2 linked regions of the Drosophila melanogaster genome follow. The protein of the gene in region 1 interacts with the protein of each later gene in a pairwise test. Each region holds a gene or a part of one and is shown on either strand. Other genes may lie near its edges. The genes, in order: CG15153 and CG9304.

The links.
Region 2: the proteins of CG15153 (region 1) and CG9304 interact in a two-hybrid assay, tested with the Drosophila melanogaster proteins (one large-scale study listed by BioGRID).

What each region holds. Positions count from the first base shown.
Region 1 is NT_033779.5:18,085,709-18,101,317, reverse strand, and holds CG15153 (uncharacterized protein), read left to right. Parts: upstream 1-9,061; 5' UTR 9,062-9,079; coding exon 9,080-9,849; intron 9,850-10,052; coding exon 10,053-10,377; 3' UTR 10,378-10,581; downstream 10,582-15,609. Other genes in the region: Slc25A46b (solute carrier family 25 member 46b), read right to left, coding at 3,274-4,626; CG31741 (uncharacterized protein), read right to left, coding at 15,162-15,317, 15,382-15,475.
Region 2 is NT_033778.4:21,963,903-21,981,008, forward strand, and holds CG9304 (uncharacterized protein), read left to right. Parts: upstream 1-9,219; 5' UTR 9,220-9,228; coding exon 9,229-9,968; intron 9,969-10,271; coding exon 10,272-10,848; intron 10,849-10,901; coding exon 10,902-10,972; intron 10,973-11,036; coding exon 11,037-11,326; intron 11,327-11,386; coding exon 11,387-11,622; 3' UTR 11,623-12,484; downstream 12,485-17,106. Other genes in the region: ppk9 (pickpocket 9), read left to right, coding at 271-797, 3,824-4,021, 4,099-4,383, 4,447-4,683, 4,764-4,942, 5,134-5,199, 5,611-5,702, 6,267-6,332 and 2 more; CG34029 (uncharacterized protein), read right to left, coding at 6,926-7,270; Gr58c (gustatory receptor 58c), read left to right, coding at 12,760-13,821, 13,879-14,055; Gr58b (gustatory receptor 58b), read right to left, coding at 14,487-14,699, 14,757-15,770; Gr58a (gustatory receptor 58a), read left to right, coding at 15,958-16,977, 17,030-17,106.

The sequences.
Region 1 (15,609 bases):
GGGCACTTCATATGCAAAGTATGATCCACCTAATGCGATTTATAGCGCGACTCCTTCGTGTAAGCTGGAAGAGAGGGAGTGAAAGTAAATATATATTGGGCAAAGAGTGCTGAGTAAACTAGATGGAGTGGGTTTGCAACAGCTGCGAGCCGGGTACGTCTCCATATATGTACGTCGGACTCGTTTGTTCCGCCTGTCATGCCCATCATCTCGGGGTATCCAGCCATACAACCATCCTACTATCCTCCCATGCTGCCATGCTGTCAACCGTCAACGCTGTCGCCTTCGTCCTTTGCCTTCGATGATGCTGCGCTTTCGGTTGCGGCGATTATGCCGAGTATGCCATTGTTGCCTCAGCCTCAGGAAATCCATTTGAAATCCCCAGTTTAGTGTGAATTTATACGAAGAAAATTCGCTGTTCTGTCTCTGTTTTTCTATCTGTTTCCGCTGCCCTTTTTATGCTTTAGCTTACCCCATAAACTTGCTATATTTCGCTGTTTTAATTTAACGCCAGAGGTAGAGATTGTCTGAAAACGAAAATCACCTTCTTCAAATATTCCCCATTTCCCTATTTTTATCGCCGCTATTGTAACATAATTGCTCACGAAAGCTTCCATTTAAAGCAGATTTTTCATTTTTTTGGATCTCAATTCGATGGCTGAATCGCTGGACGAGGGCCAAAGCAAGCTCGGGCACTCGTGTCGTATGCGTAATATTGTTAGCCATTGTTCTTCTCTCCGGTAGTCCCAATCCCCGGAGAATTTTCACTGACGAGTGTATGTCCTTGCGCGGAGGAGAAAGTGGATGAAGGATGGCTGCGTTATGCAAGCATATATTTTTGAACATGAGTGCCGGCGAATGAAAGCAGATGTCTCTGCAGTTCGAGCAAGGAAAGAAAATGTTGCATATTATATTAAAAATTTTTAATTTAACCAATAAATCTTTTTATCTTATCTATGCGCAGCACTTTTTTTAAACTAACTGAATTATTGTGCAATTTGAAATAATAATAAAACAATTCAGCTGTCGTCAGAATGTCTACGATTTACAGAAATATTGTAGTATCTGATTCAAAAGAACGAGGAATGGAGCTCAGCGTTGAAGTGAGAAAATGGTCTCTTCAAAGTTGTCCGTCTGCAAGTTAGCGACTCATTAGCAGCTACTTAAAAACTACTCGAGTAACAGCTGTCAGGTATTTGCACTCACACTCGCTATTCAACTCTTGCCACATTCTCAACTCAAGCAAATTGGCTGCCAGGTTTTATTCAGAATGTCGCATGACGGTGCCAACATGTCAACTGAACTCCATCCAGGTAAACTGACAACTTGGGTCTCCGGGGTCCAACAACTCGGGTTCCAGGTTCTCTGGCGGTTAATTAAAAAACGGAACACTGCCTGTGCGCACACATAGGAAAAAGTGTTGAGGTCTCACTGCTGGGAATAGCGAGATTTTTGCTTAAAGCTGATGAAATATGGCATGTGCTTTAGTGGAGAATTGCACTTCATTTAGTCCTGGCTCACTTCATTTTTTTGGCTCAACATTTGTGCACCTGTCAATGAGCTCATTAAATTGCCATTTTGAGAAGATGGCGTAGAGGAAATGGAGCTTGTGCCTCGCTGATTACCAGCAAGTGCTTAAATTACTTTCTTTTATTTTTCTTTCGCTTCCAAAGCAAAGTCGAACTGCATTTATAATTAAATATGTCTGCAGTTTCACTTACTTTACGATTTCAGTCACTTTTTGTAGATTCTTTTTGAAACCCGAGAGAATTATTTCTGTAAAATGTTTAAATGATTATGGTGATAGGAACGAGGTCTGTAAATATATAAAAAGTTGGCAAACTTTCATTCGCAAGTCCATTAGGAAATGGTGTGAAACGATAACAAATGGAGTTTCGAAAGGTGATTCGAAAAAGTGAATTATATGTATACTTGCTTGCAGCTTTAATAATTTGCGGAACTATTTTTGGTGCAGAACGTAGGAGTACCCGAAAACAACACTAAATAATGAAAAAAATAAAGTTGTAGTTAAAGTCCAGCATTTAAAAAGCAATATTCCTTCTCTTTCGCTTCTGATATATAATTTCCTGACAGACCAATAAAATTGTCACATTTCGCAACGTGTCCCTGACAGTTGTTTGTGGCCAGAAGCTTCGTCTCCATCTCCTTCTGAGCCTGGCTCAAACTGTTTGTTGGGTTGGTTCTTTATTGTTGGCCGGGACGAGCGGGCACCGCCCGGTCGATGTTGTTTTTGGGGTGCATCATGCATCATTGAAATATGTTTTTCGTTTACAGCTGCTACAGAACACGACGAGGCCGACTGCAAAAATATTTTAGCAGCAGGGGCAACGGCATCATCCTGCGGTCCAACCACGATACCGCAGCAGGCGGCCGAACCGAAACCAAACATTCATAAAAAAAGGCGAAACACCAGAGGCAAAACCTTCATTAATCTTATTCAATGTCCGGCACATACTTTAACCCATTCCGGCCAACGTACATACATATATGTTGTGTGTTTTTTGGCCGCAGAGGGGTCGCAGTATAAACAATTTGCACATTTTAAGTTGATTTCTTTGGCATCCTTCGACTCACATCCTTGGATCCTGGCAGCAGTCACGCGTTGCATACGTGTGTATTAAGTATACGCCGTGTGGTGTCCTGCGAATTGGCTTTACGGCTTCTGGGGGCACGAAGCAGCAACTTTATGTGCATTACGTGCACACAAACAACACATAAAAACGCAATCCTAGCGATTTCGAGTATCTGCAGCACATCATTGGAAATTGTAATTTTAAATTATCGTGGTAAGTTCCACTGCCCCTCTGAATGTGGGCCAAAAAACAAATAATCGGAGAAATTGGGAAAACCAATTGACCAGGACGTATGCATAGATAAATAGTAGTTGAAAGCCTCTAAGAGTCAATAGTGCAGTGGCTGCACATAAATTAGCATAGGACTGGCCTCAGTACACCTGCAAAGTATTTTCCTAATATTGACATTCGCATACGACGTGTGGACCAGCTGGCGTGAGCTTAGATTGGCTGGGAAACACTCGCAGTGTAGTTAATGAACCAATTTTAGATTTAATAGCCAATGACTACTTAATCTTGTTTAGTTGTCGACTTTGTTTAAATGGCAAATACCAACCACTTTAGAAATTGTAAATTTAATTAGCAATCATTTCAGGGTTGTTTCCTAAGTTTCATCGCACAGTTCTCTATAAAACAATATAAGTGAATATAATACATTTTAAGATATACAAACAGGTCTTTATTCATCTAGTGAATACTTTCCTAAGCTAGTCAGTTCCACATCGATGCTGGAAATGCTTGGCGATTTTGTCGTAGAGCTCTTGTTGCAGGAGAGGGAATCGAAATTGTAGGGCTGTACTGTGCGGGATGTTGGACGATTCAATATACCAGCAGCAATTTGATCCGCTGTCCACTTGGCCAGTTTTATTATAGCAACCTGTGCGACAAATTGAAGGATCATTGCTCCGAAGCCTTTGTAGAGTCCAGCAGCTCCCTCTGAAATAACGGTTACCCTGTAGCAATCGAATAATCCACGATAGTCTGTCAAAACCGGGACAACTGAATAACCAGTATCAAGATTATCGATTATGGTTCGGGTGCCCTGCAGTTCTAGGCGATGCAATATGGTTTCGAGAGGGAAGAATACAACCTCAGTGGTAAGCATGGCTATAAGTCCGGCATAAGTTTTCGCATTTTGGTTTTCAAGCTTATTGTCGGGGTTTTTTTCACATCGATTTTCCAGCATTCTCCTCTGCATCATTCGAGTGGATACGCCATGTATTAACAGGTTGAAGAGATACTTTGTAATGCCAATCGAAATACTCGGACCGATTAATGCCCAAGTTGGTAGCATTCGAGTATTTTGCGGGGACCTCCATGAGAAAATGCGAGCTCCACCTTCTCGAAGGACATCAAAAAGTCCTGTTTTGTCGCTGGCAATGCCGCTTTGCACTGTCTTCACCAAGGAAACGGTGTGGAAGGGCAAAACCAAAGCGATGCTTACAGATTTCAGAAGGACATGCTGGCCAAATCGCTTTAAGGTCGTTCGACTATCCAATTCCTTGGGCCAACTGCTGAGTTTCGATATTACATCGTCAATGGCGCAGGACATTCCACGAACAAGCAAGCAGCTGCCCATTCCCTTCCATAGTGTCGTTAGTCCTTGGCGTCTGTGCAAGTGGACAATACAGGGCAGCAGGGTAAAAGGATGCAAGTGGTAACACTTGGAGGCATTATAAACCTGACACTGCCAACGCAATACTAGAAACGGATGGCTCAACACATGTTCCGTGAGCAGAGAAACCCAATGAACTCCAACGACAAGATATTTGCGAAGTGATTCATCCTGCTCCTGATTATCTAAATATTTATCCAGCTTGGCATGTTCCGAACTAAGATATTGGATTTTGGCAATGGCATCCTGGTCTGCATTTATGTTTTCCACAATTGACTTCTCGCGGCAATCGATGCTGTTTTCCAAGGGATTCCTAGGGCTCCAGGCTGGGACTAAGTTGCATGTTTGCTCCTCTTTTTCAAGATTCTTATCAATGAGTTCTTTATCCGTGACGAGCTTGAGTTCCTGACATTCCATTTTATTAGAGGGGATGTATTTATCTATATGTTATCTTCTGTGTAGAGCTGATAAACGTGTTAAACATATCTAAATATAGCACTATTATAGTTTAAAATCGAGTGTCTGTAATGACAGATAGTGGTGAGACTTCTACTTTCCTTTTATTTAAATCGTTCAGTAAATAGGCATCTGCGGCAAAAAATAAAAATAATGAAGAATTTCATATGCATGCTCAAGTAAGTGGAAACACATTGAAGGACCCTAATTTTGTGAGCATCATTTTTCATCTCCTCGCGAGGCATCCGCGCGAAATTTTAAAACATTTCCCCCCTTTAAGCAGTGTCTATTGCTTTCAAATCATCCTCAATCTTGTGGCTTGCGGTTGCCTTTAGTCTGCGGAAATCAAAGGACACATTGTGCGCCGCCTGGCATCAAGTGCATCATGTGGCAAGCAAAGCCGGCAACAATGTCATTGTCTCCACCAGGGACTAAGGGGTATGGAAATGGGGGGTTAAGATTGTCATGCACATTATGCGGGTGTAGGACTTTGAATGAGGGGTAGGATCTAGGTTGGCACCCAACTCCAAAGTCACAAAGTCAATTCATTGCCTCTGCAGACGACGCACATAAATAAGCCAGGCCGAGCAAAGTTGGCCCAGAAAAAGGCTTTGACGAATGGGTGGCTGGCAAAAGTGGTTTTTGGTGGCACAGTCCGCTAGTTGATTGCGCATTAATTTGTGAGCCAGTCTGTGGAATCCCTTAACCATTGCCTCTAGGTTGTCTGAGTTATTATTTGCTTAAAGTTTTCTCCACTCAGCTGGGAAATGCACAAGAGCCGAGACTTCGAGATGCACTGAGAGCGGGAGAAAACTTTGAAAAGTAATAACAATGGCCAACTGACAGAAAGTTTAATACAATGATGATGTTGATGGCTGGAATGCATTAAATTAAATACAAACGAAAAGAAAGCAATTCGAATCAACAACGAGCTTTGTTTTCGACTGCCTTATTTGCATGCAGTTTCTAGTTTGTTTTCCGGCTCTTGTCAACATCATCCGGGAAAACTGATATATATATATATATACATATATATATAAGTGTGTTCTTCAGTTCGCATTTTCCATTGCGAGAATTCAAACTGGTTTCAAATGATCAAAATATTGTGAAATAAAATAAAGGTAACTGTGTAACTCCTCTGTTTTAAATACATTGATTTCCATTGAAGCACACATGTTTGTTCGGGGCAAGTTCAAGTTCACAAGCCATCGCGCCCCATAAAGTGTGCAACATAAATTACCGAAAGTCCCGAAATTCTTTCCCAGAACGTATCCTTTCGTTTGTTCGGTGCGCTCTTAATGCGATTGCATTTAAATTTATAGCGCCGCCAACAAAAGTGCTGCATATTCTTGCATATTTTTTCGGCTTTCTCCTCTTTTTGGCACTGCAATCAGAAGTGTTTGAGTGCCGGAAACAACTCGTTTTCCTTGACGGCAGCAGGGAGCAACACGTCGCTGTTTCGCTGCCTATCTGTGCGGTATGTTGATACTGTTGTTGCTGTTGTTGTGTTGCAATTGTTGTTGCTGCTGCAAGTTGCATGCATTTGCACTTGATAAGCAAACACGAAGGAGCGGGTTGGCAAGAAAAATCAACACGGTCCGGGAAATATGCATGTTCTTGTTACCGGTAGATTTCCATTTTAGATGGCAAAGTCGTCGCCGTGGCGTTGTTTATATTTATGATTTGGGCGTGGCCCGCCCTTTTGCCAGGGATGACGAGTTGCCGTGCCATCTGTGCATTATGCAAGCCAATCGAATGTCACTTAATTGGCTTTTTATGCGGCATATTTTAGTGATAGACTCGATCAGGCGGTGACACAAAAACTGCAAATGCACTTAGGAGTTGCAAGGACATTGTCATAATATTCGTATAGCACCGCTATTAAACGAAAAAGCCAACAGCAATAAAACTATAAAGAGTCTCTGACTCTTTCGTGAAACATAAGCATTCAAATGCACGCGGAAAAATATAAAACGTCTTTAAAATAAAAGTACATTTAAGAAATAAATGCGCTGAGAAGGAAATACTTTTGAAGAAATGGTATTAAACATGAACGTCATATGTCATATTTCATATACCCTATTTTTGAACGTACTGTTGTCTTGCATTTGATGACCCCTGTCGGTGACTTCATTCTCCGAATGTGTGTGTTTCCATGCCTTTGACGCTCAGCACCTGTAGTTTAATGTCGTATTCGTTCAAGCTCCAGCCCACTTCTGCAATTTTCTCGTACATCTTGAGCCAAAACAAAACAAGTTGTTGATCACACAAAGCTGGCTTCAGTCGAGAACAGAGCACGGAAAACAGGAGCTGAGCCAAGAGCCTCAGCCCGAACCGAAACTGAACAGGCGTCACATCTTGTTTTTGTGCCGGGGGCTCAAAGGTAACGCAAATGGGCACGACATGCAATCAGGGGGCGGGCACGGGCGTTCAGGGGCGTGGCTGCGGGTCGAAGGTGGCCAGGACTGCCGCCAACAACTAAAACAAAACATTGACATAAATACGTGAGCGCTGCTGTGGCTGCGGTTACAACAAAAGTTTGTGTTTTTCCTTGGTTTTTCGCTTTTTTTTTTTTGGCTTGTGAAATGCCCTTGGAAAGTAGGTATTACAAATTGCTGATGAAGTCTGCCGGGAATATATGGCTGAGTGGGTATGCAGGATTGGAGCGAAGTTTTTCTGGTGTCCTCGGGTATGGTTATAAAACTTATTTAAGTGTTTTGCGGTGGGTGGGTAAAATGTTCTAGATTTTCGAGAAAACTTTTTCAAAAATGATTCGAACAAACTTTTTATTTTATTTTAAATGATTTGTTGTAAGAAAATACGATTTCCGCTCAAAGTATTTGGTTGCTTATAATGGAAATATCAAAATTAAGTTTTCGAAAATTGAAAGTAGAACTGAGCTTACAAATGCCAACTATGAATTATAAAAACTGTGGCTTGTCGAAAAAATATTAGTTAATTGATAGCAAAATTACAAACATGCCATGCCAGCTTGTAAGTTTAAAATGTTTAATTATTAATTGAAGAGCATACCCTGTTTCTTGAATAACCCTCATAATTTTCCTTTTTTTATATTTTCCATTTTCCTTTCTGCAAGCTACGTTAGTTTGCTCACTTTTTCCACCTTGTTTTTGCTTATTAGTACATAGTTTTCATTTTTATGCGACGGCTGCACGAGCTTTTTTGTATTTTTATATTTATTTCTTTTGAAGGTTGCTTGCCGCCTGGCTTTGTTTTTTAACTGGGCTTGTACTTGCGCCATAAATTTTTAAAACTTGATCGCGAGTGTGAGCCATGGTGTGCATTGTTGATGTTCTTGCCGCACTCGCAGGCCTAGAAATGCAGAGCTGAAAACTCGCTGCGAACCATTTTCCCGCTGTTTTATGATATTTTTTTGTCGCTGTTGATATGTTAATCGCGCTGTGCATGCAATTTTAGTATTATTTGGCCATTTGTTTAATTTTAACGCCAGCTCGGCGGGTATTTTTTGTCACTTTATATGCGTTAAACGTAAAATTTAATAGATGTTGCACGAGCTTTTTAATTTTAATTATAGGGCGCGCACAAAAAATGGTAACCTATGCCGCAAATTATGTATTATGTAAATTGGCAGCAGGGGGCTGTACCACATATGCTCTCCACCATTTGAACACAATCAAAGGTATGCTCATATAAATGCCTCGAATTTTATTGTTTTACGTGCGCTGAGGTCCTTTTCGTTGCGTGTGTGTTGGTGTGAGACCTCATAAGTGTTGTAGGGGGCCATAAACGCCTCTCTACCTTTATCATAAAATGTGCGTAAAACTTCCTTGTGGCATTTATTGATAAAACGTTTGGGCAATGAATTCCTATTTGAAGAGAAGGCTTAAAGCCGAAGAGAACAAATGTTATCTGCCGGAAGGTGAGGGTGCAAACTGGAAGATTGCATGCCTGACGTGTCTCCCCAGCGCATTATTTATTCGATAATTATTACCGAGATAATGAAGGAAAATCCCACTTGGGCCAAATAAATTGGGTTGAGGGAAAAGTCCTTGGAGAGCGATATTTATACGAATTTATAAGTATAATTTCTATATATACTCAAATATTATATTTAAATAGTTTAATTTATTTTAAATATTTGGGGACACCTAATAATTAGAAGCAACTCAGTCTTTTTGCACTCGACGCTGAATCAGCGAAGTTGGCTCTGCTTTCGTTTACCAAAAATTTCATAACCGCGACATGGAATTTCCAGGGACGCATCGCTGTCCAAATACTTTATCGCCAGCAAACATCTTGTGGGCCTTATCGTCGAGTGTCAATGGCAGTTATCTGTCGATGGATACAATTGCTCTCAGAAACTGATATAAAAGCGCTGTTCAGCGAAAATTTCCCAATCGAAGTTCGTACCCCCCAACGAATTGGACCCGAAATGGATTTCCACCTGCTGATGATTGCACTCGTGCTTGCACCAGTCTTTACACCTGTCCACTGCCAGGTGGCCTGCAATGCGAGGAGCGGCCCTGTCCGCCAGAAACGCATCGTTCTCAGCAGCCCGGGAACAGGTGGGCTGGCCGAGTTGGACACTTGCCAGTACCGCGTGGCGCCGTGGAGCGGCCAGGTGTGTCAGGTGCGCGTTGATTTCGAGCGTTTGGAGCTGCCGCAGCCGCAGTTGAATGCCAATTCCGGAGTGCTGGAGTGCGTCGATTTTCTGCAGATACAGCATTTCCGGCTGTGCGGTCGCAACAGTGGTCAGCACTTGTATATACCCATTCGCCGGGGTCAGGAGCTGCAGCTTCTGTTTCGACTGGCCACGTCCCTCGGCAGGCAGTCCACCTGGCAGCTGACTCTCACCCAACTAGAGTGTCCCAGGGACTCCGCCAGGGGTGTAGGTACAAGGCAACCCGAGGTGCAAACACCCACTGTGCGACCGATTTTGCCCTTTTTGGGTAACTTCCTGCCGCGGACCATCTTTGGCGGACAATCTGGAATCGGCTCGGGTTCCGGTCCCGCTGCCCAGCTTATCCAGACTTTCACATCGCCTTCAAGTGCGGATCTGGAGATGTTGGCACCTCTGGGCTGTGATCAGTACTACAGGACCACCACTGGCGGAATAGTGAGCTTCAATTTTGCAGGTGGCGTCTATATGCCCAACATGAAGTACTCGATTTGTGTCAAGGGAGCGGCAGACAACGAGATAAGGTGAGTGAGTCACCACTCCGAATATATTTCACACGCTTCTCGCCGTATTCTAGTCAACATTTATAATTGTCATTCATTGCCGAATACTTCTTTTTTTTGTGTATTACAAATGAATAATGTTTTACTAGTTAGTACACAATAATTTCGTATTAACTATAAAAATATAATAATAATGTAATATTTCTCGGCTTTCTCCAAAACAGCTACAAGATCACGCACTTTGAGCTCTCGAAGGCGAACTCCGAGCAGCCAGGACCTGCCTATGACACCGATTGCCGCAGTACAGTGCTGACTCCGTTGCGCGTATCTGACTATGTGAGCATTCCCGATGCATACATGGTCGGCAGGCCAGAGCTGCAGGCCACTCACTACTGTGGCAATGGATTGGCTGGCCAGGAGCTAGTGGCCCGGCCGCCTTTTGTCCTGCGATTCGCCAGTGATTCGCAGTCCAGTGGATCTGAAACGGGCTTCCAGCTGACCTACACGGTCCGGCGGTCACAGGATTCCCTGGTGTCCACAGATCTGTAAATTGGCATAAATAAAGCCGGCAGTCTTAACTAAATCAACGCACACAAGTCAACTGGAATTGACATTATTAAATGCAGCAGTGATACTGGCACTGTGAACCAGGACATTCCATGGCCACGGATTTGCCTTAATTAAATGCCCGGCTCCGGCATTAAGTCACATGTATCTATATATGCAAATAAATTATGGAAAGCCCAGTGGCATATATGGCATGTGGTTGACAATAATGGCAAAATGCGTACGGGAAACAGGTTCATCGGAATGCGGATAGAATTTCATAGTTGATTATTTTGATGTATGCTTAACAATAATATGCTGAAGCAATTTATTGTCCTGCTCTTTCGAGGTGCGTAGGAGAAAATAATGCGAAATGGATATTGTCTTTGCGCAGGGCTCGTATTGCATGAAAGTGAGCAGATATTTAATTGAGAAATTTAATGGGTGTGCCATTTGATGAATTTCCGATATGTTGCATATACTTTACGATTTGGTCAGTCTTAATTTAAATGGAATTTAAATGGAATGCCACTGCTTAGATTGAGACTTAAAAAATAATCTTATTAGTTAGGAATACTTATATATTATATATAGGAATACTTATAGAGCAGTACCTAGCTCAAAAACATTTCGAGTACAACTATTTGACAAATAAGGTTTACTTTCCCAAAATTCTTCGAAATATTTTGGGTTCTCCCGTGATATTTTTAAATAAAATAACTTCGACAGCCACGTGCATATTTGCATTTATAATTGCAAACTGGTGTAACTTGCTTGGATATTCCGGTGCAGGGACAGCCATTCGCCACCCCCTCAAACTTTTCACACGAGCCGGCAGGAGCGGATGCAAAAGCTTTTCGGGGGAATGGGAGCCGGAACGCAGTGACATTTTGATGCCGACACAGCTGCCACAATTGCCAAGCCATGTATTTTTAATGAAAATTTAACAAAATTTCTGCGGTTTAAGTGCGAAAATTGTCGAAAGCGCGCAGAGCAGGTGGCTGGGCTGATCGATAAACATTTACACATATTCGGCGGAAACGAACGCGGAAGTGCGAATTTTTGCGATTCAGTTGATGGAACACATATGCAAGCTGCTGCAAAATGTTGAGCAAATAGGCCTTAGGCCAAACGGATATGAAAAGGGATAAATTCAGCATTAAAGGGGACATTGTTAAGTGTCTGGTAAACAGAATGAAATTGCATTTGCATCGATGACCAGAACACTGGGGAAATTGCCTTTCAAATATGCATAGTCATATGCTCCGACACGATGCCAAACAATGTGAGCCAGCTCTTTTGGTCTGACATCGACATCGACATCGTCTTCGACTACTTTCCCTCTCGAATTTATGTAGTCTCCTTTTGCTCTGGAAAACACTTTTGCTCGCTTAACGTTTCTATCCTGGGGCAAATTGTTTTTACCCGACCAGTCGACAAAAGATGCTCCAGCATCTTGGACCATCTTCCTTTGGGCCACCTTTCGCCTCTGGCTTTCTGCCAGCTAAAAAGAGAACTTTAAGCCTGGTCATAACCCAAACTGAAAAGCCAGCTGGGGAATGGAGCTCGCCTTTCATATGGCACTCGGGCTTAATGGTCACTTCATAAATGCAGGCAATTTGGGAGCTCGGCATACACTGCGTATGCGTAATGCAACTTTGCAGCTGCTAAAAGCCATGATTGTTGGCCTGGCGCAGTTTTAATTGCGGAATTTTCGGAAGGCAGTGCGATAATTGCAATATTTCATTTTATATTGGCTTCTAGCTAAGTAGCCGCATATTTGATTACATACTGTTTTTTTCAATTACCCCCCATCTACTATCAGTTTACAAACTTTATATTAATTTTAAAACTATACTAGCTGGTTTTTATTTCACGTTCGGAAATGTTGGCCAACAGAAAACTATAAACATAAATTGTTTGGTTGCCAATCTAGCCATAGTCAGTTTTGGGAACACGGTGGGGGAGTAAAATTCCGGAATGTTTTTTAGATTGAATTTTTAAATTTTTTCCCTCAACACACACTGGACGATTTTTTCTCTGTTGTTTTGGCGTTAGCCCGAAATGGTCTATGTTTATTTAAGCATTTTCTCACTGCAGATTTCCCCTCTGATGCTGTCAACTTTCTAACATCTGACCCAACGCCAAAGGCCCAATGCAATTTACGCTGCTAACAAAACATAAAACAAGAACCGTATTCATAGCACATTGCATAGAAAATTGAAACAAACATTCCCAAAAATAAAAATTCCAGATGCGGTTTCAACATTGTAGTTACAATGTCACAAATTATTAATTGCTAACGGATTTATTTATTGGTGGGCTGGCAGCTAAATTTAACATACATTTTTCACAATGCTTTCATAAACTACTTTGAGCTTTGCCAACCTCTATGAAAATGTAGAAATATTTTATGCAGGTATTTCTATAGCAATCAGCTGTAAATGTTTGATAGGGCTCTGTACTGTTTACTCAAAGAATACTAAAGTAGGTTCAAACATTAATTTAATGTCTGCCTTATCGCGGCTCAAAACGCAGACATTTTAACAAACTTAAATGCCAATTAAGTAACATTAAATTGTGCGAAAAATGAATCGGCACAGAACACGTCCTTGAGCAGAGAGAGACTGTCAACAATGACAAAGGAAAAAATTAAGCAGCTAAACAGGGTTTTATGGACGGTCGGCAGAAATAAACAAACAAGTCGGGTCCAATGGAACCTCCGGAAAATCTGTAAGCCACGGCAACATGACACTGGCCAGCTCACACCAAAAAACACACTTGGACTTGTCCCTTATACAAAGGACCAGGCCCGAGCCCAAGCCAAAGCCAAAGCCAAAGCCAGAGCCAACAACATAATCTACGGGTTGTCAGCAGCCCAAAAGACCATAAAGGCAAGGCAAACGAGCTGAAGGTCGCCGGACGAGAGGGGCACCCAAAGTGGGTGGAACGGGAGGAGCAAACAAATTAGTATGCAAGTCAGGCAGCCGATTAGGACACCGAAGTTTTCGCGACATAAACGGACGGCAGGCCACAATGGCAACATCCCATCCCATCACATGCCCTTCATGCCATTCAAGCTCTTTTTTTTTGGTTTTTCGGATTTAGCCAAAATAATGAAGTCGGTCACTGACGCGATCTGTTGCTTGTTATGCCTAGAGAAAAAACCGCAGGTTATGGTAAACACAGGTGAGTCAGGTGTTTTGATTTCTTGATACCGAAGTCGCTGCACAACTATTTTATAAAATGTTTGTATATTATACATAAAAGTGCATTTTGTGTTAATTTATCTTCAAAGTAAAATATTTATTTGATTATTGCTGCTAACAATTAGAACATGACGTCCCTCAAGAATATAATTCCGAAAGAATATTTATAACTGGGTATCATACACATTAAAAAGGTATTAAAATGTCAGCTAGTCTTCGCACCTTGACAAGCAATTTCCAAAATTAAATGTTCTTGTTTCTGTTCACAATTTTCAGCTCTACAGCTGACAGACTGCCTCTTTTTGTGTTATTTTGGGTCCTCTGTCGCTTTTGGGTGTTGCTTAAATATTTCATTAAAAATTCCACGCACAATTGCACATTGCTGTGGTTTCTTGACCAAGCATAGAACAACCTAACTGGAATAAGTCCATGTTTAATCTTTAAAATAACAGTGGCTAGAGAATTTTACTGAATTTAAATCGAATTACTACCACAAAATGGCTACTGCAAAGCGTTTAGTGTCAAAAGAAAATGTGTCTTACGAAGAATGTAGCTTTATTGGGAGGAAGTTTCACATTTGCGTAAATAAACAATAAATTTCACAGGCTCAGATGTAAATCAAACTAAAAACAGATAATCTAATAAAATGGTACAAGTTGAAGCCGAGCAGAAAAATGATAAGCCACATGTGCTCTAAATTTTAGTAAAAATGCTATGCAATCCTTTCATTTAACCTCTGTCAATTTGTCAACACATTTTCAAATTAAAATGATCAAGAATTCAAGAATGTTTTATTACTATGAATAAAATAGCATGGGTTTCGTTAAAAAGGAAATTCTCACTTGGGCCCAATAGCAAAATAATTTGAAAAATTGTAAGGATAATTCACTGGAATGATCTTAAGTAATTTGATTTATATGATAAGATTTAAGAAATAAACACTTTGCAATTATTTATATTGGTTTTTATATTACAAATAAAACATTCTTATTAAAGTACTTACTTTATTACCCCAGTTTTCTTGGCCCGACAGAGATTTTGCTAAAGTTATGGCCGACACATACTGGCAGTCATATAATTTTCATATTTTCATACATTGTTTAACTTGTTCCTTCGCCCTTTTCGTGGGCCACGAACAATGTGTGTGCAAAACGTAAGTTTGCGTGCTTGGTGCATATAAATTAGTCGCTTATAATATTCTTTTGGCATTTTTCAAATTTCCAGTTCGGTATTTGCCGGCTCTGCCTGGTGAAAGAGTTCGTACGCCATAAAGTATGCAGCTTACGTGCTCAAGGATTTCTCCCTTCCCGCCTTCTTAGCATAGCATGAACGAGCAGCAAAAAACAATTATTAACATATTAATAAATTTTAGCATATTTGAAAGGCCATAATTTAGTGTAATTCTAGATGCCTGCAGCTGGGCAACACCTGAGGGAAATTGGATAATCCAGCCAAGCACGTAATTTGCATTTTTTATGGCCGGGCCTTAAAGAGCCCTGACTGATTATGGCCTTAAACAATGCCCAAATATTCCCATTGATTAGCGAGATTATGGCTTTGTTAGCCTAAACAGTCTTATCAGTTTTGAGTGCATTGCAAATGTTTGTCGGGCCTTTGTTCGCTGTGCCATTTGTGTTTTTTTGTGATGAATATTCCAGTTACGACTATTGACATTCCCAAAAGAACTAAGCCAATTCCTGTATACATTCCAATAATCGCAGCATTTAGGGCAAGCTATTAAATAAGGTATTACATTTTGTTATTCATATGTAGATATTTTCCATGCTTTCCATCCTACCTTCAATAGTTTTGTGAGCCCTTCGTCTAATTCCGCATGCAATCTCATTGTAAATAGGGGTGCATAATGATCATAGGCCACGTTCTTGAACAAGCTGGATAAGGAGAAAAAACAAGTTTTTGGTTTAGATCTTGACCCTACATTGATATTAATATTTTCTTTGTCTTTAAGCTGATACTATCTATGTTAATAGTGACAATTTCACAGGTACAAGAAGGACGATTTTAC
Region 2 (17,106 bases), on another chromosome or scaffold:
AGCCACACGTTTAAAGCCTGCACTGCAGTGTAGTATTAAGCAGGGGACATCGACAGGCGATTACTGTAGCGTTTTCCCCGATGTCGGGTTTTGGCAGCACCGCGTGGGAAAATCGAGTTTATGTTATATAGGTTTCTATGTGGGAAGCATAATATGAGTAGCTACTTTTTAAAGAAAACTTATTACAACTTTTTATCTATTATACACTTCAACCCATTTACTTTCAAAACCTGCAGCAATAAATCCCATCTTGCAGAAGCGCCCAAGGATATGCAACCGCGAATCGACGACAGCTCACCGTCAGCGGCGGCAAGGACACTGACATCCTCGTCGAGCAGGAGCAGCTGGGCGGAGAACGAAGGATCCGCATCCGGCAGCGACTCGCTGCTGACGTCGTCGACAGCTTCGCTGCTGCCGCCGCAGGATAATAATAGGAGGTTGGGTCCAGGTCCTGGATTGCTGATTTTTCCCGGCACCGGTCAAAGACATCAGCATAATCCAAATGGCAGCACGGGCAGCAAAACAATTGCAAAAGCTAATGACGGGAACGCGGCCATTAATCAGCCAGGACCCGCCAGGAGCATTCGCTCCTTTCGTCGTCCTCCACTGTGGCAGCCACCGCCACAGGATCACGCGCAGGATGGGCAGGAAATGGAGGTCCTGGATCGGCAAAAGCGAAAGGATTGCCGTCCTGCCTGTTTGGTTAAAGGGCAGGCCTTCATAATCGAGTTCCTGCAGGGCTCCTCCATACACGGATTCATTTATTTGGCCAAGCTCGGCCTGAGTTTCGTCGAACGGTGAGTTTTGATTTGTAATCCGCCAATGGATTCCATTGGGTAATGGAATTGGACACACAATGGAGACTCTATTCCCATCGGCTTTTAAATGAAGAACAGAGCGGACTGAAACTCATATTGTAAATATTACTAGAACTAAAGTAGGAATATTATGTATTCCTTAACCCGCATGCATTGGACAAATATTTGGTGTGAGAATATTTCCACTCAATTAATTTACAAGGGAAATTAAAGCTAAACCTCATTACGGCCAGAAAGTAGCAGAGACCGCAGCTTAACTTTGGCACAGGATAACCAAAGTTCGCCGCTTAGAAACCGTAAAGTGCCAACTAAAACGATACCAAACTATAAGTCGGGGTCTTAAAAAGGACTATCCAGCGAGCGTGGCCACGTGCAGAGATTCCGGATCGGATTCATAACGTGGCTGTTTCAAAGGGGGAAGTGCGTCGTGCCGAGCCCCCACATGAAAGTTCTCCAAGCGAAATACATTTTTCTACATATCTTCCGTTTTATGCGGTCGATGTGGGAAGGTGGATCTTGTGGTCTGAAGTAATATTTCTGCTGCTGGAATTTGTATTTTTGTGCGGTGCAATAAATCCTTAAAACTGACATGACATGACAAACAGGATTACACACACACTAGCTGTGAGGGTCGTGGGGGGGGGGGGAAATTCTCCGCCGCTTTCGCTACCTTTCCCTTTTCCGTTTGGCAACACTCCACCAAAGTAGTCGAGTGGATGGGGCTCAGGATGCGGATGCGGTGGTTCGTGGGAAATCTGTCAGGACTGCCGGCTGAGGGTTAATTAGTGGATAACAGCCAGGCCAAGGACAGGGCCAAACAGGCACTGAGAGAATAACCTATATACTATTTTAATTATTAAATATTTTATTTTCAATATACAATTATGTGAAAAAACTTTATCGACTAGGTACGTTTAGTTGAGTTTATATTCATTTCATGACTATTAACATATTTTTATTAAATAACACATCTTCGTATTCTTTGAGTGCATTACAGTCTCCCCTAAAATCATGAAGCTCAATTACAATTATTGTTAGTTTCCTCTACAGCCAAAGTCCAACTGACAGGTGTTTCCCAGAATAGAAGTGAGATCCGAGGGGCTAAGGTGAAGTCCAGATGAAAGGTAGGCGGTCACGCAAAGCCGGGCTTAATTAATACACTTTCCCCCGCTCATTTCGTGAAAATGATTTGTTGGACATTTATAGAGCATTTTTCTCGAGAAATTTATGCCTTTGACGAGTTCCATCTGGCGCAGTTTGGATTTATTTCGCCATGCTACCTGAAAGAAAAGTATAAATGAGAAGTATGCTTTGCTATGGCAAGAAATCAGCTTGTGACGCACAAATTTCTGGACTATGAAGAACTCCAGCACAAGCCCGGCTTAAGCTCTCCCCCCCCCCTTCGCCATTAAAATCCAAAGCAATTGCACAAAAAAAATATGAAAAGCACCGCTCACGTACAAAACAAGCTGGGGAAAAGGGAAGTGGAAATGCATAAACCGGAGAGAAAGAGTCTGTGTCGCTGACATGTGATAACCTCAATTTCACAAGCGTTGATATGGTAACTATGAGGGCTTTTCCACCTCCCAAACGCCACTCCCTCGTACTTTTGGGTGGCAGCGACAGGTGCACGATTGCATAATCCACAACCGAAAACTGCAAATGTAATGCAAAACACGCAGCGGCGCAGGATGCACAGGATTAGGGCCCTGTTTTCATGCGGGGATCTGCAATCTATGGCAGGGCATTGGGCTTTCGAGTGCTCTGAACTAGGTCCCATTTTCCCTCCATTGGAATATTCGAAATTTCACAAATACTCACTTCGACTGTACTTTGAATCATAAATATGCCATCCACCCACTAATTAACATAGCTTCTTTAAAACGAGCAAAACAAAAATGTAAAAGAGTTGAGGGACAAGGAAATAATATATTATATGTAAATGCTTACAATTATTTTGGTAATTTGCTTTGAATTTATACCAAGGGTTAAAAGATCCAGATAAGATATCTTGGCTCTAGAATTGTAATTTCGATTTGCTTTGTAAATATTTAAGAGTTTTTTGCATTTCGACATTATTAATCCCATAACACACACACACATTTCAGCTGCATACCTCAGCCAGAAACTATGTGGGCATTCTAGAATCCACCAATCCACAAAAAAGTATGAAAGCAACCCTTGATGCTCGAATTACCAACGAGATATTTTCGACATCCAACATGCATCACTCGGCCTCATTCACGCACACATTTTATGCATATGAGTGTCGAGATGATGAAACAAAGCAAATACATAAATTGCAGGCCAGACCGACACGAGATGGAAAATGGCAGTTGCGAGGGGGGAAATGGGAAAATGGGCGGGGAAATGGGTGCGGGCATGACAATGAGTCTGTCATATGCGATGTCCGAAAGGAATTTTGTGGTGTTAGACAAAGTACAGCACTCAGCTGTCAGAGAGGAAAATTCCAACAACAAAAAGAAAGCGGACGAGAAAAGAGCGAAAAGCTGCACACAAAAATAATAAGGAGCTGGAAAATGTTTGGGAAAATTAAAAGCCAAGTAGCCGAGTGTTTGTGTGTGAGCGCACTGAAAGCTTTATGAGCCATTGCTGGCATCAAAATGTCATTGTAGAAGGCATTCGCCTGAAATGGGAAATTCAGCAAAGGATTTTCGGCGACTTCTGTCTGTGTCCTTGCCACTTTGTTTGTGGCGATTCGAGCCGAATGGGAAAACTGAAAGAAAAGCCAGTAAAGGGTTGCAAAAGCGTTGATGCGTTCATTGACTCCTCCTTCGAGTTGGCCATAATTCTTTCGCCGCGAATATTTCGCATAATGCGAACAGAAAAAATTTACACGCAATAGATTTTTATGTCCTTTCGCCACAATGCACACTCAACAGCAGTGCGAATTATTCGTCAGATTCCATATATCATTTCAGAGTGTGACGCATTTTTGCGAATTTTCACTACGATTTTTATAGAATTTATTTCACATTTTTTAGCGTTCTCTGGCTGGCGTTCATCTGCGTGGCATTGTTCAGTATCATTTCGCTGAGCAAACGCACTTGGCATCGCTTTCAGACCTCGCCAATGGTTATATCCATGGATCGGAATAAGCTGGTCTGGAACACCAGCTTTCCATCGCTCACAGTCTGTCCGCATAAGCGGATCGATGAGTTGAAAGTGGAGGAGTACATACTGTGAGTTAAAAATTCAGTTTCCTAAATATGTGGTATACCACATTTAAGTGCATTTTTTCCCCAATGCACCCGTACAGCGCCCATCCCGACCAATTCCTGTCCGAGGAGGATCAAGAGGATTTCCGCGATTTTATTGTGAAACTTGCCAGCCTCACTTACGACAACTTGGAGACACTGCCGCTGAACAAGTCGTATGGAATACCGAGCACCAAGTACTTGGAACTGCTCTACGAATTGAAATGGGCCTTCGAGCCGGAAATCAGCAGCGGCGCCGCCGTCAAAATGTTCATCTACGAAACGCAAACGGAGTTTGGCATTTGCCATTCAGTCAACTCGATGGTGGCGCGCTACAATTCCTTCGAGTGAGTAATTGTTGGGCAGGAAGTGCTCCCGATTTGATTGCCTTCTCCTTGGCCACTTGGCAGCTACTGGCGTTCCGGCGACTGGAGTCTCATGGACCACGGCGACCGGGTGACTGTTCATCCGCTGGATGGCGAGATCTACGCGCAGATTATTAACCTATCGACCGCCTACGATGTTTACTTTCACGGTGCCGGCGATGTTCCGAGTATTTCGAAGCAAAGGTACACATTCCCGGAAAGTGACTACACCACCGTGGAGCTCATCGCCCTGGAGATCTTTACGAATGAGGAGGCGAGAGCGTGAGTTTCAAGATTGCTAAATTTTAGGCTCAAAATATATTTCTTTTTCAATATACATATTTATTTATTGGCAGTTTCAGTACGAAGCAGCGAAGCTGCCGCTTCAACTACGAGGCCGAGGAAATGATGACGGTGCCCATCTACAGTTTTGGCCTCTGTCTCTCGGAGTGCAGGATGTTCTTTGCTCTGCGGGTCTGCGGCTGCGTTCCGCACTTCTACAGGAACCGCTGTGGGTATAATCATATTTTCGGTACACAGAGTTGCACTTAATTGGCCCCCATTAAAGTTAACTTTTATGCGACGAACGGGGTTGCATCGGAGCTGTCCAGTTTTATGGCGAAAACTCGGTCGTAAAATGCTTAAATACTCACAGTTTAAGTGGCAACTTTTGCACTATTATCTGTCCCGCTCCAGTGCACTCCATTCGTCTCTTTCTTCAATGTTTTCCAGTGCGAAATGGCCGGCGGTTGCCTGTTTGCGGACTGGAGGGCATCGGATGCCTGGTCAAAATTAAACGTGAGTAATTTCCACCGCACCGGGAACATGCAAATATTTATCGTGGCCCGGAAATTCGATTTACATTTTTCGTCTGAATAAAAAAATGGACTGAAATTTCCCAGAACGTGACCATAATTTAATTTTCCGTAGGATGGTCAAAAGTCAAGGTTGAAATAGACAACCTGTTGCGTAATTGAAAAGCGGGAAGTAATTTGCTGGGGAGACCAGATTACGGACAGGTTGACGTTGATAAGCTGGATAAATGTTTTGAACAAAAAGCTTGTGTTCTATTAGAATATTAAGTATAATATCTAAAAATATAAATATTATATGGACGATGCTTTCACTAAATAGCAGTTGATTAAAGTTACCTATACCTAAAGCTTAACATAATATAAATTGTTATTAACCTTTTGTTTTTTCCTTCAGGCGAAATAATCTCATTGAAATCGGACAAATACAAAATCAATTGCAACTGCTTGGCCAACTGTGATGATTCCAATTTCTTTGTGCAATCCTATGTAAGTACATCGCACATAATAATAAAAATAAATGAAAAAATGGCAAATCCCCTATTAAAAAATATAAAGTAAACTTTAACTGTAAAAATGTTTATGGCGAACAGAAGCGCCATCTAGCGCTCGTTAAGTGGCAACTGCAGACGCCGCTGCGTCGCGCATTTCAAGTGGAAAAATGCCCGGAAAACTGGGGAAAATCCGCCGGAGGGAGAGAGCCGAAGAGCCGGAGAGCGGGGTCTTGTGCCTTAAACAAACATCAAAATTGTAGTCCGGGGCTATAAAAAATAATAAGCGCAGAAGTTGCAGGAACTGGGAGCCTTGAAATATGCAATTATTTTGGGGATGAGGCGTACGAAAAGGGGCGGCAAACCAAAAGTTTTGTTTACCTTTTTTTCGCGCTGTGTGCGGCGAAAGTTTTTACATTTAATAATAATTTTTGCTTACTTGCCTTGTTACCAGAATACTGATGATGTTGTTCCCATTGCGCTTTGTTGCTCTTATCTTATATATATACCGTATCATTATGTGTTTTCCTTATTTCCCCTCTATTTCCCGAATTTTCCATAGCGTTCGCGTGTCTGGTTTTTGGGAGCCAATTTGCAGTGGGGTATTTTGGAGCACCCAAAAATGCAGGTAAAGGCTAATCAATAGGATTTGTAAATTGGTTATGATATATGTTTCTTTAATGGTTCCCAAAGAAATCTTTCATTTTAAAACTAATTCTCGGTTTATGGTTCAGTTATGTAAACACCTTGTTATTAGCCTAATACTTATTAATATTTTTGTTTAACATTTAATTACTGTTCATTTTTTATTAACCATTGAAACCCAAATACCCAAACATGCAGCTACGGCGGGAAGTCCTTTTCTCCTTCGCAGATGTTTTGGGTGAGTTTTTCCTCCTGCCCAAAGTTTTTCCGACTCACTTAAGAACGCTCGCATTTCACTTTCAGTTTACATCGGCGGTCTTGTTGGATTTTTCTTGGGCTGCAGCGCCTTAAGCTTTACGGAAATTATCTACTACTTTACGGCACGATTTGTTCGACGCATGTTTTTCGATTAATTCTTTCTGGAATTTTCATTATATTAAAACATAGTAGTATAAACAGCTTAAAATACATGTAATATAAGATTGAACTATCAGGGAAATGAATATATTGGTTTACTTATAGCAATTATCTTTCTTCATAAGATGATACATCAATTTTAATAAAACGCATGTCGATTCAATCAAAGTCATCCACGATTCCAGCGGCGGCCTTAATCTCCTTCCAGCGCTCTGTGATCGAAGATCCTTCCGTACCTGGCCCACTGGTCATCTCCGCTGGTTTTCCGATTTGTACACCCAAGGGAGGGGGCTTGACTACGGCATGTCTCTCGATGTAGAAATTGCATTGCTTGCAGTAAACTTGCGACATTTCGCGCGGCTCAAACTTCTTATCGCAAATGACACAGATTTTGGTTGACAGACGGCACTGAGCGCAGCGGAGCTCCTTCCTCGACAGTTCGCTCCAAAGAAACCTTTTAAAGCACGCGGTGCACATGTACAGCCTGTTGTCCGGGGATTCCATGTCCACAAATCAGGCTGGGAAACATAATTAAGCTTAAGATTAATAGGTCAAAAACCAACCTTTAATATCTTACCAAAATTATATGATCAAAGCACTTGGGAGAAATCTAAATCAAAGCTTCCTCGACTGGAGGAATACGTTTAGTGTTAAAATAAGTCATGGCTTTGTCGATCGATCTTTGTATTGTATCTGTGTATCTGTCTAATCACGCCGACTGCCCAGTCATCTTTTTTTATTGGCCAAACAAAAACAGTTGCGTCGGCCTAATCAAAAATAAAATACACTTTGTGCAAAGTTGGCGGAAATCATGGCGAGGAACTCCCCAACTTTTCCACCTCGCCATCATTGAACCTTCATTGTCCATGTTTCGTCGCTGGCATTTCAATGAACTTCGCTTCGCTTCTACAATCGAACAGAAAGGGACGGGGACAGTGGGAAAGAGAGGGCGGTAGTCCGTCAGAGAGGGACGACAAATTGCGCTCCTTTTGTATTTTTGCCAACCTTGTCGGATTTTATTATTGGGGTCGTCGGCAGACATTGAAATGAACTTCTGACTTGTTCACATGTTATGTGTGCTTAATATTTGCCGAATAATTTGTCGTAAGTTATTTCGCTTCAGCTATTATTGGCCTGCCAGCGAGTACAGGCAAGATTCGATAAGCGAAAAGGATCAACTGACCAGAGATGGAGTTCCAGTATCTTAACGCTATAGAATTAAAATAGCACAGCCAATTAAAATTTCTGTAGAAAATATATATCTATTGTAGTAAATATATAATTAGGGATGCTTGACTGTATTATTCCATTGCTAGAATCGCATTTATTGTGTTTGTCTTGACTTTTGCACAACTGAGTGAACTGTGGCTGTCAACAAATGCCAAAAACTCATGAATTTTTGCTGCTCCTTCGGCGAGTCCTTCTTCGTTTTTGCAGCGTCATCAATGAATGAGTGAAAAATGGTCGAAAATGTGGGTCATCGAGGGAAGGAAGGATACATAACTTGCTGTAAGCTTCGCCTGATCTGCTAAAGGAATCAAAGTTTTCATCTGCCAACATCACAATGGGTAAATCTACATTTCAATGGCTTCATATTTTTATGCAAAACCGCACTCTCCCTTTCGCACACTCTTCACCTGTCTCCCTCCCGCAATCAAATCTCAAAGGAATTGTCAAAGAGTGTGGATTTTTTGCACCTTGTCTGGTGGAAATGGGAAAAAGGGGGCGTGGCAAGCCACAATCCACACGAGAATTTCCCGCCACCGCGAGCTGCATTTTAAATAAATAAAGCGTAAGGGATGTTCGTTGGGGTTAGGGTGACGCATCCGGTAGCTACATACGTATTATCCAACTTTGCACTTTGAAGTTTTTGGGGCTGAAAGGGTGGCACTTTTTACAGCATAAATTTGGGAATTATGAAAATTTATTGTTCGAAATTGCCATTGGCATGCGTGTGAGGGCTTAATGTATAAGAAATTGATAAGATGAGACGCCCATTTGGGTAACTTCTAAAGAGTTCTATTGTTCATTAATCCTAGAATTGTATGCTATTGTTGTGAATTTCACAAGGGAATTGAAAATGTGCATACTAAAATCGATAACTTTTGATAATAATTTAATGCTCTTATGTGTACATATTTAATTATATAAAATGCCTTTTTAACTCATAGTTACACATTTTAAAATAATTTCGGGCTTCAGTTGTATACCCTAAAATTTTAAAATTTGCGAGTCATCCTCTTCCCTTTAAATATAAAGTATTTGTTCAACAGTTGAACTTACTCTGTAGGTTTTATTTATTTATTTTTTAAATGCTTTTGTATATTTCATTTTTAAAAAGTTCCCCAAAAGTGAAGGATGCTGTCTCGGCTAGACGAGAAGCCAGGAGTGTGTATCTGCTAACAAATCGATATCAAGAAACAAGCTAAATTATCGCGAGAAACATCGGTCTCCGATGACAAATGCATCGATGCCGTTTTGGCATCACTAGCGACTGCGGATTTGTGGTGTGGAAATTTCCGCAAAACAAAAATAAAAATAGACCTCGGTGTGCCAACTTGCAAGCGATGCACAAAGGGGCGCCTCCTTGGCGAGTGGGCTGTGCCGACGTGGCATCCGGAATGGAGTGGCAGCTGTCCGGGAATCCCGCATTGGGAGAAGAGGAAGAGGCTGCAAACAAACAACAACAACAACAACTGATAAGAAGTGAAAGGTGGGCCTGCAATCGCAGGACTATTCTCCTGGGATGCATCTGCATCATTATCTTGATAGCTGTTCCCTCGAGCAATGCCACCCACATCAGCGGACAATTCCAGACGGGCGACTTCTTTCAGTTCCTGGCGAAATTCGGCTTCAACAAGGCAGATCTGACACGGCGCAATGCCTATGGATATATCTACGGCAATGTCACGTCGACGGATAAGTATGCGGTTCCTTTGACACTCGTCGTCTTGGACAGAAGGACTTTCCTCGAGTTCTACGGCAACCGCAGTCAAAGGAGCCGGGAAGCCGCCTGCACAGGGATGTTCTCCCGCCTCCAAAGGATCGCCTACGATTCCACGTGCAATCCTCGTGCCAAAAGGGACTTCCTGCGTCATGTTCCCTGTCCCGTCAATCAGCTCTGCAGCGATGAAGATGAACCCGGAAACGTAGTCCCGGGATCGCAGTTCACCTACGTTATCAACCTGGAGGCGGAACCAAGGTGAGTTATGGGTTTTTCTGGGCTTACAATTCGGAAGATAAGAATTGGATTGCAAAAAAAAACCCAATTCATCTTCAGAGACTGCCATTCTCTCTATATATTGGCCTTTTGGTATGGAGCTGGCTCCATGCAGATAAAATGAAACCTTATATCTTTGTTTGTTTGTTGCGGCATTCCTCTTTTGTAACGGAAAACTGAGATAACATTTGATTTGGAAATGACTTGGAATAATTTTATTTTTCCATAGAAGCATTGTTGTTTTAACTGGTTAATGTATTTTGTTGTCCCCCGCGTCGTTGACAGATTTTGGTACCTCTCCCTGGTGGCCTGTTATCAAAACAAAAGCACCTGCCAGTGGCACGCGCACGAGAGCCTGCCAAGGCTAAGTAAATTGGACAGCAATCTCCTCAACACGCTGCACTACGACATACATCTGGTCAACTTGCATCCGAACAACTCGGCCGCACATCCACTTACCTACCAGTACTCGTACGATCAGCAGAATCTACTGGAGATGTACCTGGTGTTCCTGCTCGTCTACATTGTTCTGCTGCCCATGCAAATTTATGCGGTGCGGCGGCAGAAGCATCCAGTGACCAAGTTGTTTACCGTGAGTCTTCTCAGCGAGTTCGTCAGCCTGGCTCTGATCACCGCTCACCTGATTCACTATGCGGCCAATGGAGTGGGCGAGCCAAGATTGCAGGCAGCTGGAGATGTCCTGGACATCTTGAGCCGCACCACATTTATGTTAATTCTGCTGCTGCTGGCCAAAGGATGGGCAGTTACCAGACAGCAAATCAGCAGAACGGGATGGATAATTCTGATGTCCATCTGGGTGCCATACTGCGCGTTCCACGTGTTCCTTTACATCTGGGATAGGGTAAGATGTGAAATAAGCTTTATAGACTTTCATTAAAAACAAATGTTTTTCAGACGGAAGTCGATGTGGTTTCCGACATCGATGAATACCAGACGTGGCCCGGCTGGATAGTTTTAATACTACGGTAGGCCCTTAAAGTTTTTTGGCTGTAAAAATGAACGTGACTCACTGTTTTTTTAAATTGACAGCACCTCCTTTATGATGTGGTTTCTTTACGAGCTCCGCAACACCATGAAGTACGAGCACTCAACAAAAAAACTTGACTTTCTACTTCACCTGGGCGCTTCCAGTTTGGTGTGGTTTATCTACTTACCCATCGTGGCAATTGTGGCGCTGCAGGTCAGCCCCATGTGGCGCTACAAGTTGCTGCAAGGTATCACCAACTCGGCGGACTGCATGGCCTATTGTGTGATGACAGGTCTGTTGTGGCCACATAGAGCCGGCCAATATCTGCTCCTAGCGGGCACCAAATATGCGGGTGAGTGCGGTTGAGATATAACCGAACTCGGACAATTTAATAAGGTAATTTCCTTTTAAGGCATGGATGAGTTGGACGAGTTCAATGAAGCGCCACACATTGTCAGGGAGCGTGAGAGGCGTCGGAATTCGCCGCCCGATGAAATTGCCGTTGGTACGGGGAGTCGGGGGATGGTGCTATCCACTAGCATTCCACATTCGCTAAACGGCGATGCCTGCAACGATCTTTTGGAGGCTGAAGACCTCGACGCGGAGCTGCTCACCGATCTTAACAAAAACAGTCATATTGTGGCGTAAATGCAACGGGTTAATTACTAGGTGTAGATGTCAATTGTGCTAAATGAAACACGGAATGTTATTCATCCTAAGCATAAACCATACATATAGCTAGATTTAGGTGGGTTGATATTTCCAATCTTTTCACTAGTACTACTTTCTGGCCGAAAACGATATTCTGCTTTTTTAACTGAAGTATTTGCTTAGCTATTTTGAGACACAGCAAGTTTCCTAAAAAGTCGCTCCCTTAGTAAACAAATTTAGTTATTCCAATTAGTTAACAATTAAGTTAACATTTAACTGACTTTTGACTTGAGCTGAGTTTTTAAAATCGACCCACCATTATCTCGACACAAATTTATCTGAGTGTATATTCCATATAGTGTGTAACCACTTACAACGAAGTCAGAGCGAGTGCAAGAATGCACCAGAGATTGTTGTGTGATTTTATGTAATATGCTTGAATTTATAATTAGTTTCTAGTTAACGCATAGGAGATCGATTCGATACAATACGCTTCAGCATCATCATTTCGTTGCGGTAGTTTATGCATAAGCTTACATTTAAACAAACTACCGACTACCTACTAAGATAAGCAACCAAGAGGTATTTTGATAAGAACAATCCAAACACACGAGCTAAAACCACTTGAAATTGCAAAACGAAAAATAGCTGAATAAATGAATAATTTTTAGATAACTACTTTGATTTGCTTTTTGATAAGTAGACCGACGAACAACTTTTATTTTTTACATTTGAACCTTCAATACTCTATAAAACTCATTGTACCATACAACACGTGATTCATATCAAAATTCAAGTTAACCGTTTTATAAACCTATTAATTTATAATTTTTAAAACTGAAAATACAAATTTTTTCATATATAAGTAGTTGTTTTATTTTATTTTAATTTTTTTATTTAGTTTTGAAGTTATATTTTAATTAAGTAATATTACATTTAAGCATGAACATACTTTTCTACGTTTTATAAGAAGATAAATAATAATAGCTAAAAACCCTTGATGCAAGTGAGTCCCACTGTTGCGTTCGTTGCGTGTCCTTTAGAAAGTCCCTGGAGTCCTTTTAGTTTGCTTTAAAATCAACTATTATGTTGGATTCAATTCTAGCTTTAGTTTCGCTTTCAACGTCCAGAACAATGAATCAATACTTTTTGCTGCATACTTACTTTCAAGTGAGCCGCTTGATAGGACTCTGCAATCTGCACTACGATTCCTCGAATCATCGGTTCATCCTCAATCATGTGCCCACAGTGGTTTACTGTGTTATCCTGAATGTGGTCTATCTCTTGGTCCTTCCATTTGCCCTGTTCGTGCTAACTGGCAACATTTACCATTGTCCAGATGCGGGCATGTTTGGAGTGGTCTACAACGTGGTGGCTCTGACCAAACTCCTGACCATGCTCTTCCTAATGAGCAGTGTTTGGATACAGAGACGTCGACTGTATAAGTTGGGAAACGACTTAATGAAGATGTTGCACAAATTCCGATTTAACCTTGGAAACGATTGCAGGAATAGATGCCTGTGCAAGGGTCTGCTGACCAGCTCTCGATTTGTGCTCCTAACCCAGCAGCTGTTGACCCGGGATTCGGTGGTTAATTGCGAGAGTAACTCCAGTTTGAGACAAGCTATGGTTCCGTACCAAAGTGCTGCCATAGTGTATGCCTTAATCATGATTCTATTAATGAGCTATGTGGATATGACAGTCTATATGGTCGAAGTGGCTGGCAATTGGCTGCTGGTAAATATGACCCAGGGGGTTCGGGAAATGGTCCAAGATCTAGAGGTCTTGCCCGAACGGAATGGCATTCCGCGGGAGATGGGACTGATGCAAATCCTTGCCGCCTGGCGAAAACTTTGGAGACGCTGTCGCCGTTTGGATGCGTTGCTCAAGCAGTTCGTTGACATCTTCCAGTGGCAGGTGCTCTTCAACCTGCTAACCACTTATATATTCAGCATTGCTGTTTTGTTTCGATTGTGGATTTATTTGGAGTTCGATAAAAACTTTCATTTATGGAAGGGCATATTGTATGCGATTATTTTTCTGACCCATCACGTCGAAATCGTAATGCAATTTTCCATTTTCGAGATCAACCGCTGTAAGTGGTTGGGACTTTTAGAAGATGTCGGAAATCTGTGGGACATCAATTATTCGGGAAGGCAATGCATTAAAAGCAGTGGAACGATTCTGTCAAGAAAGGTAAATATTTTGTATTGAATTCATAGTGCAAAGATAATGACTAACGCTTTATTTTAGTTAGAGTTTTCCCTGCTCTACATGAATCGCAAACTTCAACTGAATCCAAAACGTGTGAGACGTCTGCACATCGTTGGATTGTTCGATTTGAGTAATTTAACCGTTCACAACATGACCAGAAGTATAATAACCAATGTGTTAGTTCTGTGTCAGATTGCCTATAAAAAATATGGTTGAAAAATAATGTGTGTAAAGTTATCCAATTAAATTTCAATATCAAGTAATTTGACAAAATGTTTTTGGGTTCGAAGGTCTGCTAAAATCTTCCAAATTTTATATAAAACATTATATATTTAAGCTTTATAGAAAACAAGGAACATATGTATGTATTTATTTCTAGCTGGCCCCAATACATAACTCTTTTGGAGACATCTTAAAATTATCCGCTATACAAGAAAGCCACAAAATCATAGCTTTCAATTCGAATTTGATATCCTATAAAACTCCCATGACTGAGAGTCCTGTAAGCTGCGAGAAAGCTTTCTATTTTCGTGTAAAGTTCTGAAAGCTTGATTGATTTACGTTTATGTATCATATCAAGGTAAAAAAAAAAACCGTGTATAAATGGTGAACATTTAGGTAGATAGATATAAGATATATGATTTTCTTTACACTTTTGTTTTGTTCTTCATCAAATGGATGAGATATTGACGATCATTGATGGGTTGTCTTTGCCGTCTCAAATCGAACTGCATGAGGATAATGACGTTGCTCAGAATGGAGCCAATATAACTAAGGCAAGCGGGTTTGTCCAGCTCCACAATTCCGCATATTTTGTAGACCAACCGATTCTGCCTCAGCTGCATGGTAAAAACATCCAACTAAGTGGAATATTGTTTAGTATATATTAAATTTTGTTTGAGGCTGAGCACACTCACCTCCCTTTGCATCTTTGGACCCACTTTTGGTAGATCGCTAAGTTGCCTTAGTTGCTGGCCAGTGTTGTTGCAGGAGGTCACCACACTATCCAGCATTTCCATCAGCGCCATGGTGCCCCAGAAGTTGAAAACGATCAATCCGTTGCCAAATAAGATGCCCCAACCATTTGACTTGATGCTGCTATTGCTGTACTGGACGGCATGATAAAGGATATTAATAGCGGTCATAAACATGTTGATAAACACCGTGGCATTAGCGATGTCAAACATGTCAAAGATCCTTCTGGCTAATCGAAGGGTTTTCAGATGCATGGCGGCTACGGAACGCAGAGCTTTCCATTTCTTCCGGGCTTTCCTACCATGAAGAGCGTTTATGGCCAGATGGATTACCAAAAATTGATGATTCAGTAGAACCAGTACCCCGAAGAAACCCATTTTCACGCACAAGAAGTGCAGAAAGTGCGTGAGCCGGGCACAGAAAGCCAGGAAAATCTGTGGGTTAATCACACTGAGCAATTGATACTGCAACACAGTGGAGCACAGAAAAGCACTATAGAGTAATATTATTTTCCGGATCATTATTCTGGCCAAGGACTCTTGTAGGTCAAGGAGTTCTTTCTTGTCCACTATGGCCCTCGTTATGTGTCCGAACCTCTTCCAATATATCAGCGAGTATTTATAGAGCTGAATGATTTTGTGGCGCTTTAGCCACAGGGTTCCATAGCAGCTCACCACAGCGATGGCTCTAAGGAAGAGCATCACAAAGAAGTTCCACTGCAGGACTATGTTGTACTTCATGTAGCCATCTTCCATGATCCGAGGCACCATGAAGTACAAGTTTAGAAACAGGAATATGCCCACAAAGAAACTGTAGATGGTGTAAGTTCGCGAGACCTTTTCCAAGCGTAGGCATTTCCTGCAGGAGCGTATCCTTAGGGTAGTGCTCATTAGGGCGAAGACAACGGAATGGTAGTAGACCACGTTCATCACGCGACCAAGTTTCGGATGCAACATGCTGCAGTCAAGGCAGCCAGGTAACTGACCACGTCCTAAACGCGGCAGACAACTAATTAGGATATAAAGCTTACTGATGGAATTACGATGAGCAGACAGGTTCTCCGATTTCCATCAGGATAACAGAGCTTCCATCGATTTTATAGAACAGTTGACGGGTGTCCTTTGCCGGAAGCAGTTGTACGAAATGCTGTTGAAATTCATGTACATATATGGAATAGGCTGTGGTCTGATGCCTGCTCCTCTGAAGAAAGGACAGTTTCTTTTGGGATATAAGCAGAGATGGTACCTCATCTATACGGCCTGCCTGCACGGCGGTCTACTGACCGTCCTGCCCTTCACATTTCCCCACTACATGTACGACGACAGCTACATGAGCAGCAATCCAGTCCTGAAATGGACATTTAATCTAACCAACATCACCCGTATTATGGCCATGTTTTCGGGCGTTCTCCTGATGTGGTTCAGAAGAAAAAGGATCTTGAATTTGGGTGAAAACTTAATACTTCACTGTCTTAAGTGCAAAACACTGGATAATCGTTCTAAGAAGTATTCTAAATTGCGGAAAAGAGTTCGAAATGTACTTTTCCAGATGTTACTCGTCGCAAATCTCAGCATTCTGCTGGGGGCTTTAATTTTGTTTAGAATTCATTCAGTACAAAGAATTAGTAAAACTGCAATGATTGTAGCCCATATTACACAGTTTATATATGTGGTCTTTATGATGACGGGAATATGTGTGATCCTATTAGTTCTCCACTGGCAAAGTGAGAGACTTCAAATAGCACTCAAGGACTTGTGCTCCTTTCTTAATCATGAAGAACGCAACTCCTTGACTTTATCAGAAAACAAGGCCAATAGATCCCTCGGAAAATTGGCTAAGCTCTTTAAACTTTTTGCGGAAAATCAGCGATTAGTCCGAGAAGTTTTTCGAACCTTTGACTTGCCCATCGCCCTTCTTTTGCTGAAAATGTTTGTTACAAACGTGAATCTGGTTTATCATGGAGTGCAATTTGGCAACGATACCATAGAAACCTCAAGTTACACAAGAATCGTGGGACAGTGGGTGGTGATTTCTCATTACTGGAGTGCTGTTTTGCTCATGAATGTTGTGGATGACGTGACGCGGAGAAGTGACCTGAAAATGGGAGACCTCCTGCGAGAATTCAGTCATCTGGAGCTGGTCAAAAGGGACTTTCATTTGCAGGTAGCATTTTTCTGGTAAAATATACGATATAAAATTTTTCATACATTTTTAGCTGGAACTTTTCTCGGATCACCTTCGTTGTCATCCGTCAACGTATAAGGTCTGTGGACTATTTATTTTCAATAAGCA